Linked DNA regions of Astyanax mexicanus. Each later gene encodes a partner of the first gene's protein in a complex. Links are inferred from orthologs where the notes say so. Each region holds a gene or a part of one and is shown in the gene's direction. Other genes may lie near its edges.

Region 1 (7,797 bases):
AACAACAACAACAACAACAACAACAGCAGCAGCAGCAGCAGAGCTACAACCAGCAGTATCAGCAGGTAAGCTACTTCAGCACTACAGATGTTTGGGGAAAGGATATGGTGTGATGAAACCTGCAGTGACACACCTTTAAAAAAATAACTGGACAGTAGCATCATAGTTCTTTGTGGTACCTTAAATAAATATCATCTTGGGGTCTCTCAAACATAGTGTCAGGAAACGTATCTAGTACTTATTTAGAAATAGTTTTGATAATAGTGTTTGTTTGACCTGTGATCTTGATTGATCTTTTTTTTCATTGTTGTGTTTGCAGTATGCTCAGCAATGGCAGCAATATTACCAGAGCCAGAGCCAGTGGAACCAGTACTACAACCAGTACGGAAACTACGGCAGCTATGGCAACCAGCAGAACACGCAAGGCTCCCAGGGCACACAGCAGTAGTACCTGCATCGACCGTGACCCTCCAAGCTCATTCCGTCAACATCATTCCTCTGCCTATCTTTTTATAGTCTCCGTCTTATCTTACCCTCACATAGTCTTCCTTCTCCCTTACGCCACTCCCCTTTAAAAGCTTTGTATGTTTTTTGTTTGCTTCTGTTACTTTTTACCCTATTTGCTCAGCCTTAAATGTAACTGCATTTCCTTGCGCTCCATTAATGCATTTTAGTTCTGGTGGCAGTAGCCAGTTTTGCTCTTGAAGTGTTATGTTAACTCAGAGTTTAGTTCAGATATTTATAAACGGCAAGCAGGCAAATTTATATGAGTAGCGACATGTGATGTAGTTTGTTCCAGATACTGCACGCACAAATGTGCTTGAACGCTTTGTGGTTGATTACGTGTAGTGGGGGCGCAGGATTTTACATCTGATCAGTTTTGACAGTTTTGTATGTAGAAACTTGTTTCTCTGCTCTTTTTATTCATCTTTTAAGAACCATATTTTCCCTCATTGGTTTAAGAAAGCAATCTTGTGTAGATAAATACTAAGTGAACATTTTAACAGCATAATTCTTTCTAACGCTTTAATTGAAATCATGTACCTGTGGAGTTTGTCAAATCCTTTTATATACCATTCTTAATGTCTCAACTGGCTGGCTTCATGTCTTCTCATGTTTAGTGAGCATTAGTTGCTCCTTGTGTGGTTGTAAAAGTTTTTATACCTTGTACCATGTTTGTAAAACAATATTTGCATGTGGTTTTGTGTCAGATCAAAACTCACTTTTTTGTATTGGAGAATATAATCTAAGGAAATGACTTGATTTGTTGTTTTGTAGTTTTCTTTTATTCAAAGTGATTGTAGATCATTTGTTCTTGAAAGCAGCTTTCAGTCAGACCAAACATTTAAGTGACTGAAGTTACTACATCCATATGTGCAACCAATAGTAATTATTTAAACTACTGATATATTTTTGATGAGCACTATAGATTTTATCGGTACAAAACGTGTCCAGTAACAGCATGTAAAGGTGAAAAAAATGAATAGGATATTGCTAAAATATCCCATCTTGGACAGTACCTACGGCTATTATTAAACCTAAAGTAATTAATGTTAGCTAATTTAACCAAATCTCTTAAAAAATGAACTGAAATTGTGTTAAAAAATTTTCGTTCTAAATGGTTTGTATCAGAAATGTGTACTTTTACGGCAAACGATTGCAAAAGTGCATTTCTGTTTATAGTGGTTATCTGACCTGCCTGTGAAAATAGATTAATGGATGAGTGTAAAATGATAAAAGAATTTGTGCACAAGTATATTAATAAATAGTGTAAATACACATGGTCAAAATCAATATAATAAAACCTTTGTGTCTTCAGCATAACTGTTTCAGATTTATAGGCTATAACAATATATTTTTCAAGATTTACTCTGAAAGAACACGTTATTACAAATATAGAGGAATGTTAAGCTTTAGTTTAAAGTACTTTTTTTTTATTTCAAGCGGTTTTCTTTAATGCGAAAATGTTCTTTAGTGCGCAGATTTTTGCAATGTCTGCAGAGTTCCCTGTTTTCTATGTATCATATTGTGTGTATAATTAGCTGAGGTAAAGCTTTAGCTGTCCACCCTGTCCTTCTAAAATATCCAGGTAATGGACCAAGGTCACCATGAACAGTTTCCAAATGTATGCAAACCTAGGTCATTCGTGTTTTCATTAAATGCCAATTTTTGCCAAAACTGTTTACCCTGTCGTGCATCTTAAGTGAACAAATGTGCTTGCCATTGGAAAAAAAATAATTATTTCGGAAAAATTTGATTTCTGTACCCATATGTAAAATGTGTGTATTGCAGTAGAATACAGAAAATTGTCCAGTGAAAAATATCATTCTCCATTTGTGTAGCTACTATATAAACTATTTAAATAATTCTGAATAAAAAGAGTGAAATCTTCCATTTTAAAACATTTGCTAAATTTCAATTTTGGATATATGCTGGATATATGCTAGGTGTTTTAGTGGACATGGCTTTTGTAATTGTTTGTAATTGTAAAAACATCAAATTAAAGGAATATAATGCCCATATACTGGCTACAAGTGTAGATGAAACAAACATACAAAGCCCCTAAGGTGACATCATGTTAAAAAAAAATAATGCATGGCCATGATTTAAGGTGTGGGAATGAAATCCTAAGGCATGGCTTAAAAATGCATTGGAACAAGATAATTAAGTTGTAGCCAGAGAATAATAAAGCTTGCTTTTCTGTAAATTAAAACCCATGAAAAAGATTTATTACATATAAGCTCCAAAACAAGGAAAATTTGTAAGAAAATGGAGAGTTAATAGGTTTCTTTTTTATTTTCATCTTGAAATTAATGATGGCGATATTTTGGAGTCTCCTGCAGTGAGACAAGACTTAATCTAAGTAAAAGACTCTTAATTTTCAGACTTAAAGCTAACGGGCTCAGACGCAGACAGTATACAGACCCGTTTACCTTCATTATGCAGTCATGTTCCAGATCTTCCTTCCACTACCAGATCAGGAGAATCTCTCGCTATTTTTAAGAAACTCCTGAAGACAGAGATCTTCAAAGAGCACTTACTCTCCTAACACCTCTAACAAACTAACTTCTTCTAACCTCACTCCCTTCTTCCCCTCCTTCACTCCTCTATCCTACTATTTCTCTTTGACCTCCTTTAGGCCCTATCTAAAGATGCTTTTACCATTAACATCTATTACTTTTTGTACTTCACTATTGTAAGTCGCTTTGGACAAAAGCGTCTGCCAAATGTAATGTAATGTAATGTTGTGCACAACCCTTGAGAGCTGCTTGCTTTGTTTGCTGTGAAACAAAAAAGCTTATGACCACACCTCAATGTCTACGATTTAATTAACTTGTTCCCACGCCCTAATATGTCGTGGCCATGCCTTAATCATCTCATTCCCACGCCTTAATAAGTTGTGGCCATGTCTTAGGATCACATTCCCATGCCTTGTTTATCTCGTTCCCAAGCCTTAATTATCTCATTCCCTCACCTTAAGTTGTGGCCACGATGAAAGAACTCACTCCCACTCCTTAATAAGCTTGGCCACGCCTTGGGATCTCATTCCCACGCATTTTTTGTTATGATGTCACCTTGGAGGTTCTGTACGAAACTCTTTCTCTGCAGTAAAATAAGTTCTTTACATTCTGAAAACTTTCAGGGTTTTTGAGGACCATGGAGAAGCAGCCTTTCCACTCTCTACTACAATAAATAGATAACTCCAAATTAGTAAAAGGAATCTATGGAGCCCCTAAGGTGACAAAATATATAATAATGTGTGACTATGACTTATTAAACTGTGGGAATGAGATCCTAAGCCGTGGCCACAACTTATTAAGACGTGGAAATTAGATAATTAAGGCGTGTCCACAAGGTCCTCTTGTTTCACAGAAGCAAGCAGCTCTTGTGCACTATATGACTGCCTAAGAAAGGTTAACGGGTCTGTTTGCGTCTGAACCCATCAGCGTTTAGTATGACAATTAATTGTCTTTTACTTAGAATTGTTCCATGTTTCACTCCAGGAGACTCCAAAATCTTATCATAATTCATTCCAAGATGAAAATAAAAAGAAACCAGTACACTCAATTTTCTTACAAAAGATTGTCTTTGAATTGGAGCTTTGATGTAATATTTTTTCATGGGCATTAATTTACAGAAAAGCAAACTTTATTATTCTCTGGCTCTGACTTATTTATCTTGTTCCCTCGCCTTAATAAGTTGTGGCCACTATTTTTTTTTTTAACAGGATGTCACCTTAGGGGCTCCGTAGGAATTCCCAAATTTTCCATTTTTGAAAATAGACATAAAAACTAGATAACCGTAACGAAATGTTTGGAGGACATGGAATGTTTTATTTTGGTTCAGGAAAGTTTGAATTTTAAAATGAGGTTTAGTTCAGTTTCATGATTTTTATTAATTATACTTTGACAGCTGCAGATTTAATTCAAAATAAACATGAAACCCTTATATTTAATGTCTGAAGAGAAATATCAGGATCCGCAATATCAGGCTGATTTATTATTATTTTTATAATAATAAATGGGCTGTGAAGTTTAGACGGAAGTGTATGTGTGTTGTGAGAGTCTCCAACAACCGACACTTCCGTTCAGCTCCGACATGGCGCCTGTGGAGTGAATGGAGTGATGGAGATGTGGAGTTTACAGCCGGTCTGAGTGAACAGGAGAGAGATAACACTGCTGTGAGTTACTGTAACGAGACTCTGCTCTTTAACTAACCCCGCGGGCCGGTCTGGTGCTTCTCATTTACTATTAAAACACTATAATACACAACCGGCTCAGAGGCCAGGCTGTAGCTAACGGTAACTATGTTAGCTTAGCTAAGCTAGCTTTAGCTAGTCAACTAGCTGATTAGAATTCTCCCAACAGTCAAGACTCAATATTCAAAGAGAGTTTACGGTCATGTGAACAGTAAAGGAACAGGGTTCCTTCTACAATTAAATTCTTTATGTGGAAAAAAAAGTCTCACACAGAACTTTAGCTACTTGCTAAGCTAGCTAGGTTAGCTAACTAGCTCCTCATACAGTGAATGGAGAAAGTGACTTGTGTTTATGTAGTGTGGACCTGAGTGTTATCAGAGTAAAAGCCCAGTTGGTAGTGTAGCTCTGTAACGAAAAAAGCTCGTAGTTAGTTAGTAGTTGTAAATGTAGACTGCAGGTCTCACACAGAATCCAAACCCACAGTAAAATAAATCTCAAGTGTGTTTTGTTTAATTTGTAGTAAAGTGGAGTCGATCAGTGCTTCTTCAACATTTGTGGCACTGTGACTCCCCCAACCCCAGCCAGGGATTTTTAAATTTAAAATAAAGATAAATGGACATGCCTAAAAATCGTATATAGACAGGTCCATTGCAACAGGACAGGCAAATCAATCAATTGCCTTTTTAGTATCTCTTTCAAATGGGGCCCCTTCTAATTGTTACAAAACATTTTTTCAAAAACTATTGGCCATGATGATCAAAACTAGTCATCGCCGAATAACATTAACTTCCTTTTCATAAAATTACCCTGATCACAAGGTTCAATGTGTTATTCCCCAGCAGAAAGAAATAATGGAATTGCATGGAAGTCTGATTATTTTTTGAAATTTTGCTGTTGTTTAGCAGACAGAATGGCGTCAGGCTCTGGAGAAAGGCACTTTACTGGATCGGAGGAAGCAGCCATCGATATGACCACCAGTGAAAAGGTAATATAAGGGATCCTTTGTGGCTTGGCCGATCACTTATGCAGTTCAAGTTCTGTAGTCCATAACGCTTCACAGTGTCTTACGTTTCTGGTTCTAATACTCCTAATTCAACTTAGGGAGTGCTTACTTACAAAACTGTTGGTCAGCAGTGGCTTAGACTACATCATGCATGGCTCTTGCAGTCCAGGAGGATTCTAAAGGTTTAAAGAATTACCTACTCAGTCACACAATATAAGGCTGTGACCAGTTTTAGAATGGTTGCTAGAGCAGAGGAAATATCACACTGAGCGAGACTGTGGCTTGTCAGAAATAAAAAAAAAATCATATATATGTATATATATATATATATATATATATATATATATATATATATATATATATATATATATATAGCTTTTGAATGTGCATCACAATGAAATGTTTTAACTGTTCCTCACAACTGACTGTGCATCATAGGTAGTGGACCTTTTGAACCAGGCTGCTTTTATGTCCACTGATGATAAACTTACTGCACTTAAGCAGGTAAACATATTTCTATAGCATTGTGTGCCATTTTTACACAATCAGATGTTTGAATTGCATGCTTACTGTAAATATTTGTTTTGATTATTAGGTGCAGGAGTTGATTATTAACAAAGATCCATCATTACTTGATAATTTCCTGGATGTAAGTAAAATCACTTTTAGTGTTCTATAAAAGCTTCTAAAAAGAAATCCTTAAGGCATAAACTAAAATGTCATCTCTCTCATTTCATCTGCAGGAGATGATTGCGTTTCAGACAGACAAGTCAATTGAAGTGCGGAAATTTGTTATTGGCTTCATCGAGGAGGCGTGGTGAGTTCTATTTTTGTTTTGTTTGTTTACGTGATGTTCTTATTGCATTTCTTAATACTCATCTGCATTATTTGGTCATGTTGGTTGGCAGTGCCAAATATACAACTGCTCTACTATATACAGTAACAATGTATGAAAAGGTGTGTCAATATATATGTGTTGTATAGTGTAGTATTAATAATGTATGTGTGTAAGTTTACTTTACTCAGTCTACTTTATCGTACACATAGAGATTTTTGAGCTTTGAGTTAGTGCTTCATGTGACATGTGTGTATAAAGCGATGCTGTTTAATTTACATAACAAAGAAACTCTTTGGTGTTAATAGCCGAGAACCAGGTAATGTCGTTTACTTGTGCTGTTTCAGTAAACGGGATAATGAGCTGTTGCTGAAGCTGATTGCGAATCTGAACATGCTGCTGAAGGATGAGAGTGTGAATGTTGTGAAGAAGGCCATCCTCACACTCACTCATCTTTACAAAGTGTCTCTACAGGTATTTTTCCTGCTTTACTGCTTTACTTTTTTATGTTGTCATTCAGTACCTTGTAATGACTGACATTTAGAGCCAAAGCCTTTTGCAGCATTTCTCTTACTGATATCTGACTGTTTTGGTTTGTCTTTCTGCCAGTGGTTGGTGCAGTCAAAGAGTGTATCTGAAATGCAAGAGGCATGCTGGAATATGGTGACCCAGATGAAGGAAGAGGTTCTGGCTCTGCTAGATTCAGACAATGACGGCGTTCGCACCCATGCCATCAAATTTACTGAATCCCTCATAATCGCCCTATCACCACGGAAACCAGACTCAGATGTACCCAAGAAGCAAGAGGGGGACATCAGCCTTGACAAAATTCCAAAAGATCACTCGTACATTCGCTATGGTGGGTCAAATCTATGACAAAGTTGTGTTTAATGAGATTTTTAAAAATATTATTTTATGCTTTTACACAATAAATTATTTAACCAAAGTACAAAATCTAGTTTCAAACTATATATGGCAAACAGTTTTTGTGTTTATTTTTCTCCCATCATTTGGCAGCTTTCATGTCCATAAATCCAGGTTTAATAATTTTTTTTTGTTTCTTGTTTTGTTTCGTATTTAATCCCTCTCACTTTAGATGTTCTTTGTGAAGAGGGGAAGTCTGCTTTAGAGCAGCTCCTCAAGTTCATGGTGCACCCAGCCATTTCCAGCATTAATCTCACCACAGCTTTGGGATCACTGGCCACGCTGGCCCGGCAAAGGCCCATGTTCATGTCAGAGGTTGTACAAGCCTATGAGACT
Region 2 (7,734 bases), on another chromosome or scaffold:
AATCAGATTCTAACAGTCTTAGAAGGAGTTTTGAGCACACCCTTCTGTCCAGAGCTGAAATTACATTGTTAAAATCCGCCCTCAATATGCGCACATTTAAAAAAAATGTTTATTAGGGCGATAACAAAGTGTGGAGGTGGGGCTCAGAAAGCAGCCAATCAGAGGCCAATCTTATCCGCTTTATTAGTTGCTGCTCTGGCGTCCAATCGGGAAGAAAAGACCAGTTTATACTTCTGCGTCGAAGCTACGCCATAATCGTAACTACACGATGTAACTACACGTTGCACAACGCAGACAGCAGCAGCTGTGATTGGTCCCACCCACAATTTCCCACCTTCTCTGTTTGAACTGCAGAGCGATAGCTGAAGCTGCATAGGGCGCTCGCACAGGCAAACATAAAGCAAGCAGAAGTATCGATGCAGAAATATTTACCAACTTAAAATGTTCAAAAGATCATTACTTACTAATAAAAAATGGGAGTTGATCTGCCAGTATACAGGAATATAGAAGATTGGCACGCTTAGAGCCTATTTTTTACCCCAGAACCCCCTGAAAAAAGAATACAGCCAATCAGAGGCTGTTCTGCTTCATTGGTCATTGCAGTACCCAGTAGAGAAATACACATTCAAAATATATTTTGTTTGATTGGTTGTTGGACAAATCACTTGTTAAAGTGTGTGAGTGTGTGTATGTATGTGTGTGTGTGAAAATGTTTGCAGATAATAATATTATTTAAAGTACCCTCATGCTTTAATGTGCACTGAACCCACTAAATTATTTTTTTTTTATTACATTTTTTGTTAACTGTTCTAAAGGGACATTTTAATACCTAAAATGTAAAAAAAATAATAATATTTAAAGGAAAAAAAAATAAGAACACCAGATTTTCACACCCCTTTATTTTCAAGAATCATATTTTTTGGTTTAGGTTGTGGTGACATTGATTTAACTCTAATTGACTAATTAATCATCATTCATTTGAAATTTTCTTACTGCTTTAAAAACGGCAAACAACCTGATATTTCCATACAACTATATTATACAACATTATTTGCCTTCTGTTTATATATTTTTTATTATTTGTCTAGTACTCAAAAAATAATTTCAAAAGTAATCACAATAATTGGTCCTTAAATCATTGGTTATAAAATACATAAATAAATACGAAACATTTTTTGCACTCCTGAACACAAAGGTCAAACTCCGCCTCTAACCTCAGAGTGTATAAACACACAGATCAGGTACAGACGGAGATCAGACTCCAGCTTTAACGTTTTAACCTTTTCCTATAGCTATAAACTCTCACCAATAAGCTGTTGTGCCCGCTGCCTGTGACCCTGGACTCACCTGTGTCCATTTCCTGCAAATAATATTAACGTATGTTTACCATTGAACTGTGCGCACACCCTTAGGAAAAATAGGTTTACTCACATAGCTGTAGAAACATGCTGTTATACAGAAGGTCTCGAATAACTGTAGGGTGAAAATAAACTGTAATAAAAATGTAACAGAAAGCAATGGATGATCATCTCATGACTGTTTTAGTGTTGGGTTTTAAAGTGATAGTGAAGCCAAAAATTAAATGTCCCAATTTTCCCACTTATACTCTAAATTAGTGCTGATATGTTAAAACAAAAAAAAAATCTGTATTTCAAAATTTGGCCCGTATACAGGCTAAAAGTGAATATGATACAAAACCCATTTTCATTGCAGTAAAATATATTTTTTTACATTCTGAAAACAGAACAGTTGGTGAATCAACCTGAACTCTGCATGTTTAAAATAGACATGAAAACTAGACGCCCATAATTAAATGAAAGGGACAGGAACTGTTTGATTTGTATTTTTTTAAATATTACTTTTAAAATTATTTTGAAATTAAGCTTGAGAAAGCATTAATTTTATGATTTTTTGCATATATTTACTGCAATATTTTAAATTATTTTTTTATTATAGTTACAATTAGGATTTTCAGTATCTTTTCATCTTTTCATGTTATTCGTGAATAGAAATCCTCAACATTTAGTCGTGTAATATCAGGAATAAAACTGACAAAATGATAGCCTGTTAAGGAATTAGATTAACTTTCACAATACACAATATTTATTGCAATACTTGTGATTCTTTAAAATGCTATCTTATACTAAGTACCGACTTTTATTCAAAATTGACTAAACTGGACTTATTATGCTCTTTGTAATAAAATGACTAAGTATAAAAATAAAAAAAGTATATTGCTGAGACGATAAGAAAATTCACCATGATACTTTAAAATGTTTAATTGATTAGTTTTACACATTTTTAGCTGTGGACAATTGTGTGAGCTTATTTTAATCCATTTACAATTTAACTAGCATGTTTGAAGATAACAACAAGGCTAATGGGCTAATATAGCTAACAATTAATATGTGTTGTACGCAATCTATATTGTTATCTCAAAATGACCTTAATAGATAATAAAGAGTTAAATAATATCAGAAAACACATGAGGAAATATGTTATAGATTAATAACTGGTTTAAGGGAAAGTGTGCAGTTAGCACCATGCTAACTGGTAGCTTGTTAGCTACGCTATATTAGCCTGATAGCTCCAGTATTAAACTAACGTTAAATAAGCTTTCTATTGTCTTTTCTGATTGAGTAAATATATGATAAGGTGGGAAATGAGTTAAGAGTTAGATTTCTGGCTAAATTATCACTTGAATAAAGATGTAAAAATGTTGTTAATGCTAACACTGGATGAACGCTGGAATGTGCTACCTAACTTGTGTAGTAGTTATTGAATCATTAGTATTCTTAAATTAGGGAATAATAAGTGAAATCATTAATTAATTTGTCTGTTACTCATTGATAATCCTACATACATTAGTGAGTAGAAGGTAAAATTATCAGTATTTGCATTTGTAAGGAGTTGCATTGTGTTTATACATGCTAATTCTATCCAGGCCTACCAGCTTTCATTGATTATTAGCAGCAATAGCATTTTTACATAAAGTGTGACTTTACAGAAGTGTGAATATTTGGAAGAGGAATGTGGGACACTTCTTAGCTTTCTCCTCAAACAAAGCAATGCTGTTTTATTTGTGTAGGACTTCACTGTAAAGCGTTTGTGTTCTCAGATGCCATCCCTGTGGTGGACCCAATAAGATTAAATGCCTTATAGCTGTTAGAGAGTTCCTCATTGTTGTTCACTGTCAGAGGATGTGCAGACTGGTGAAGAAATTTCAATACTGTGCTTTTTCCCTCTCTTATACAAAACCTGCTGTGTCAAATAATAAAGTAATAATGAGTTTACACCATGTTTTGTGTGTGTTTGTGATCGTTGAGATACAATGATGTGAAAATTTATTTGCCTTATATATAAATATAAGTCAATAGAGTTAATAGAAAAAGCAGACGGTACGCTGACAAAATGTGCTAGTATGTCAAACCGTGTTAATCTAGTGTATTATTTATTTGATGGTAAAAAAAAAAAAAAAAAATCATATAAGAACATTCTCCCGGCAGAAGTTTGAAGTGAAGCTAGGTAGGATTTTAAGTCTATAATTTTTTTATCCCAATTTGCAAACTACACTGCTGTAAAAAGATTGTAAAAAGTACTCAATGAAAACCTTTTTTATTTAACAAACAAGTATACAAATAACGTCAGACAGATAACAATATCCAAGTTATTGGTACGTACAGACTTAATTATTCATGGATCCAATATGCTCGTGAAACAAGAAAATCACAGAATTAGACATATGAAAGATAACAAAATTACAAATAAAAACAATAATACATTAATTGAGAAAGGCTAATCGATATACGATAGATCCTCATCACAATAAAACAGTGACAGAAGAACTTTTTTGTACTGATTCTACTTAGTTTGGAGAAGTGAATTAAAATCAAAGGGTAGAATATAAAGGTTTACAATATATTGTAATGGTTAATTCAAAGTATTGTTATAATAACAAAAGATATACGTGTAAATTTGTAGTTAACATTCGTGAGGGAAAAAAGGATATTTTAAGGCCAATTTTAAACAGAAAATGTTAATTACATCACATACTCAAGGAAAACTGTTCTAGATATTTATCGTGATAAACACATGGGTCAGCGCTTGCGCAGCAGCAGAAAAATTAGCACATATGGACGGGTAGCACAAATCGACGTGACACAGGCCCTGCGCGCAGGCGCAGTACTGGGACTGTGGAGGTGGCGTCACACCCGGTGGCTCCGCCCCGTCCGCTGCAATACGTCAGCGCCCCCTCGTCTCCCTCCGCCATTTTAGCTAGTTCTCTCTGTACAGCAGGTCCGGCTCAGTCTTCCTCTCCTAAAACCGCCGCGCTGATCTTCTCCTCTCCTCATATTTAACTTTAATATTCTTCTTCTGAACTGTGAACTTTAACTCACAGCGATGCCGAGCCAGCCGCTGCGCGTGGCGGTCGTTTGCTCGAGCAACCAGAACCGCAGCATGGAGGCTCACAACATCCTCAGGTAACAACGGAGAGGAACCTACCGAGAAAACTACAGCGAGCCGCCGACAACCTCACCCTACAACTCCTTCTAAATCTCCTTCAGCTCCTCCACAGCTTCTCCTAAAGCTCCTGCTCCTCCAGAGCCCTGAGGAGCACAAACACACCACCCTCTCAGAGAGAGGTTTATCCGCCCGGCTCCTTCACACACAGCCGCCTCCTAACAACTAACCCGTCCGAACGGAGCAAATCCGAATTCTGATCCGAATTAACTTCGTTTTAATCGTCATTTAGTCAGTTATCTGTGTTCTACAGTCGGAAGAGTGCGAGGATTTGGGTTAGAGGCTTTAAACCATCAACCGGAAGCTGGGGGGAGGGGAGTTAGACTAAACACACACGCACTTCTTCACTAGGGCTGGATATCATTTGTTCACTAGCACACTAGCTCTGGATATCACTTGTCCACTACCTCACTAGCTCTGGATATCACTTCTTACCTAGGTCTGGACCGCACTAGTTCACAGGAGCTCATTGGCTCACTTGCTTATCAACCGGAAGCTGGGATAAGGGGGCGTTAGACAAAAAACACTTTCAATAGCTCACTAGTACACTTGCTGTGGATCCCAGGAGCTGACTAGTCGACTTTGCTCAGGATCTGGTTCACTGGTTCACTTTGATTACTCACATTTACTACTGCAGGAGCTCACTTGCTTATCAACTGGAAGCTGGGGTTGAGTGGGAGTTAGACTAAAAACACACTCACTTGCTCTGTATTTCAGAAGCTCACTAGTTCACTAGCACAGGAGGTCACTGGCTTACGTGCTTATCAACCGGAAGCTGTGGCGAGGGACCGTTAGGCTGAAAACACACACACACACTAAGTTAACTAGTTCACTTGCTCTGGATCTCAGGAGATCAGTGTTTCAGGTGCTCTCTTCATCTGGCGCTCATTAGCTCAGGAGCTCCCTTGTTCACTTAGCTCACATTCACTTCTTTGGAAGCTCACTTGTTCACTTAGGAGCTCACATTCACTGTTTCAGGAGCTCACTTGTTCACTTAGGAGCTCACATTCACTGTTTCAGGAGCTCACTTGTTTACTTAGGAGCTCACATTCACTACGTCAGGAGCTCACTTGCTTATCAATCGGAAGCTGAGACAAGAGGAGTTAGACTAAAAACACACACTAGTTCACTTGTATTGGATCTCAGGAGCTCACTGGCTCACTTGCTTATCAACCGAAAGCTGGGACGAGGGGGCGTTAGACTAAGAACACACACACTAGCTCACTAGTACACTTGCTCTGGATCTCAGGAGCTCACTTCCTCACTAGTTCACTTTGTTCAGGATCTCACTGGTTCACTTGCTTATTAACCGGAAGCTGGGGTGAGGGGGTGTTAGATTAAAACCACACGCTAGCTCACTAGTTCCCTTGCTCTGGATCTCAGGTGCTCACTTCCCCATGAGCTCACTAGCTCACTTCCTCGGGAGGCTGCTAGCCCAAACACATACATTTCTTCTCTTGTTTATTTTAGTGCACACTTTAACTTTACTCCAGCACACATTCACTTTCTCTCGACTGCTTGATTTCTCATACACACAGTGTGCTAGATAAGTGCTAGATAACTTGTAAATAGAGTAGAGTGAGGGATATGTATTCCCTGCAGGTGTGTGTTTGTTGTGCTGAGTGTGTTAATGTGTGTTTTTGTTCAGCTGTTCACCATCTCTCTGTGTTTCTGCAGCAAACGTGGTTTTGACGTGCGGTCGTTCGGGACGGGCACTCACGTCAAGCTCCCCGGCCCGGCTCCGGACAAGCCCAACGTGTACGACTTCAAAACCACTTACGAACAGATGTACAGCGATCTGGTCCGAAAAGACAAGGACTTGTATCCCGAGCTCACAGACATTTTCATACACACACACACACACACACCTCTACGTCTCCCCTTTTTACACACTCACATATTCACTCACATTGTTGCTACACCAGAATTACAGCAGCTTTTTTCTTGGAAAGTTTTTTTTTTTTTTGCAAGAGTGCAAATGGGTGTATAAACCTTTTTTATACAAGTATTTGCTTCTGTATCCAGAATAATGGCTTTTTTTCCTAATTCTGGAGGAAAATAGCATTTTTTTGTAAGAGTGCTGGTCTGAAAGCTTTAGTATTGTAAAAATAATGGCGTTTCAAACCTTCAGCTGGTAAACACATCTTTGTATCTCACAGGGGAAGTTAATTGGTTCTTGGTGCACTCCATTATGTCGGTGGTCAGAGGAATACGTGCATTAGTGCAGTTCTAATATGCGACATTTTAGCTTATTACAACGAATTTAAAGTAGTCTAATTGTAAAATTTCAAGACATTTGTGCTCCACAGTTTGTTAAGGATGGGAGCGTGCATAAAATCTCAGGAAGCTATTTTTAAATACATTTTTCCAAAATACATTTTGAAAAAAAAAATGCTTTCATAAGCATGTCAGTGCTTTAAAGGTCTTAAAATGATAAAGGGATTTAATCCCAGATTATACACTACTTCCCAAGTAGTGTAATATAAGTCTCAAAATTACGGCTTCTGGATCTAAACTGAGCATTGTACATTTATGTAATTTGTATTATATATCAGCATTTACATTTATTAATATGTTGAAATCTGAAGTCTAGGACGTTGTTTTGTTATTCTGTAAGGAGTAAGAAAGAAATAGGCTTGTTTGTGACGTCATTGAGTAAAACCAAACTTCTTGTAAAAAGATCTGCACATGTAAATTGGCGTAAAAATATATTTACTTTTTAAACTTTGATTTACTTTACACCCATAGTATTTGTTGCTGTCTAAGTGCTCTATGTACTTTGGAAATGAATAAATTACCGGTAATAAGAGTTAATCTGTACAGCCCATATTTAAAGTCTACATTTGTGAAAATGTTGCATCAGTGTAGTTTTAATACACAGGCCTGTATTTTGTCGCTGTCCAATGAAAAACAAGTACCCCCAAAAACAACAACTTTACAGGGGAGAGAAAGGAAAAAAAACTTCTAAACTTTTAATGGAAGTCAATGTAAAAAGTGTTTATCAGGTCATTTTTAAGTAATTCTTTTGGACCATTCATCAGGAAATTTTGGCACATGAAAGGGGCAGTTTGTCTGTTCAAATTATGTAGTAAAGTAAAAATTGACACAAATGGAGATACTTGTTTTTCATTGGACAGCGACAATTTGCTGCATCGCTATATATATATTTTTAAAGATATGTAGTACTTCAGAGAGTACTTTAGTAGAGCATTA

Evidence for each region. The genes of interacting proteins can lie anywhere in the genome.
Region 2: the proteins of sympk (region 1) and ssu72 are in contact, whole or in part, in a crystal structure (PDB 4H3K), measured with the Homo sapiens proteins. The link is inferred for Astyanax mexicanus from reciprocal best matches to the Homo sapiens genes SYMPK and SSU72. Residues at the interface, in NP_004810.2 of Homo sapiens: Val123, Lys127, Leu131, Gln135, Asp175, Asn176, Asp177, Gly178, Thr181, His182, Lys185, Glu188, Pro204, Arg205, Arg206, Gln207, Ser250, Ile251, Thr254, Thr255, Asn262, Ala290, Ser292, Gln293, Ser295, Ser296, Lys299, Asn300, Leu303, His304; in NP_054907.1 of Homo sapiens: Glu113, Tyr116, Asp117, Val120, Asn124, Glu127, Gln128, Glu129, Thr130, Cys131, Gln132, Pro133, His135, Asp167, Glu169, Asn170, Asp173, Gln177, Glu180, Thr186, Phe187, Leu188, His189, Thr190, Val191, Phe193.

Annotation. Positions count from the first base shown.
Region 1 is NC_064408.1:29,757,103-29,764,899, forward strand, and holds the start of sympk (symplekin), read left to right. Parts: upstream 1-4,524; 5' UTR 4,525-4,681; intron 4,682-5,601; 5' UTR 5,602-5,609; coding exon 5,610-5,684; intron 5,685-6,140; coding exon 6,141-6,206; intron 6,207-6,297; coding exon 6,298-6,351; intron 6,352-6,445; coding exon 6,446-6,519; intron 6,520-6,884; coding exon 6,885-7,011; intron 7,012-7,146; coding exon 7,147-7,396; intron 7,397-7,633; coding exon 7,634-7,797. Other genes in the region: hnrnpul1l (heterogeneous nuclear ribonucleoprotein U-like protein 1), read left to right, coding at 1-65, 320-448. UniProt on the Homo sapiens protein: Scaffold protein that functions as a component of a multimolecular complex involved in histone mRNA 3'-end processing. Specific component of the tight junction (TJ) plaque, but might not be an exclusively junctional component. May have a house-keeping rule.
Region 2 is NC_064431.1:31,532,536-31,540,269, reverse strand, and holds the start of ssu72 (RNA polymerase II subunit A C-terminal domain phosphatase SSU72), read left to right. Parts: upstream 1-4,247; 5' UTR 4,248-4,401; coding exon 4,402-4,481; intron 4,482-6,198; coding exon 6,199-6,342; intron 6,343-7,734. UniProt on the Homo sapiens protein: Protein phosphatase that catalyzes the dephosphorylation of the C-terminal domain of RNA polymerase II. Plays a role in RNA processing and termination. Plays a role in pre-mRNA polyadenylation via its interaction with SYMPK.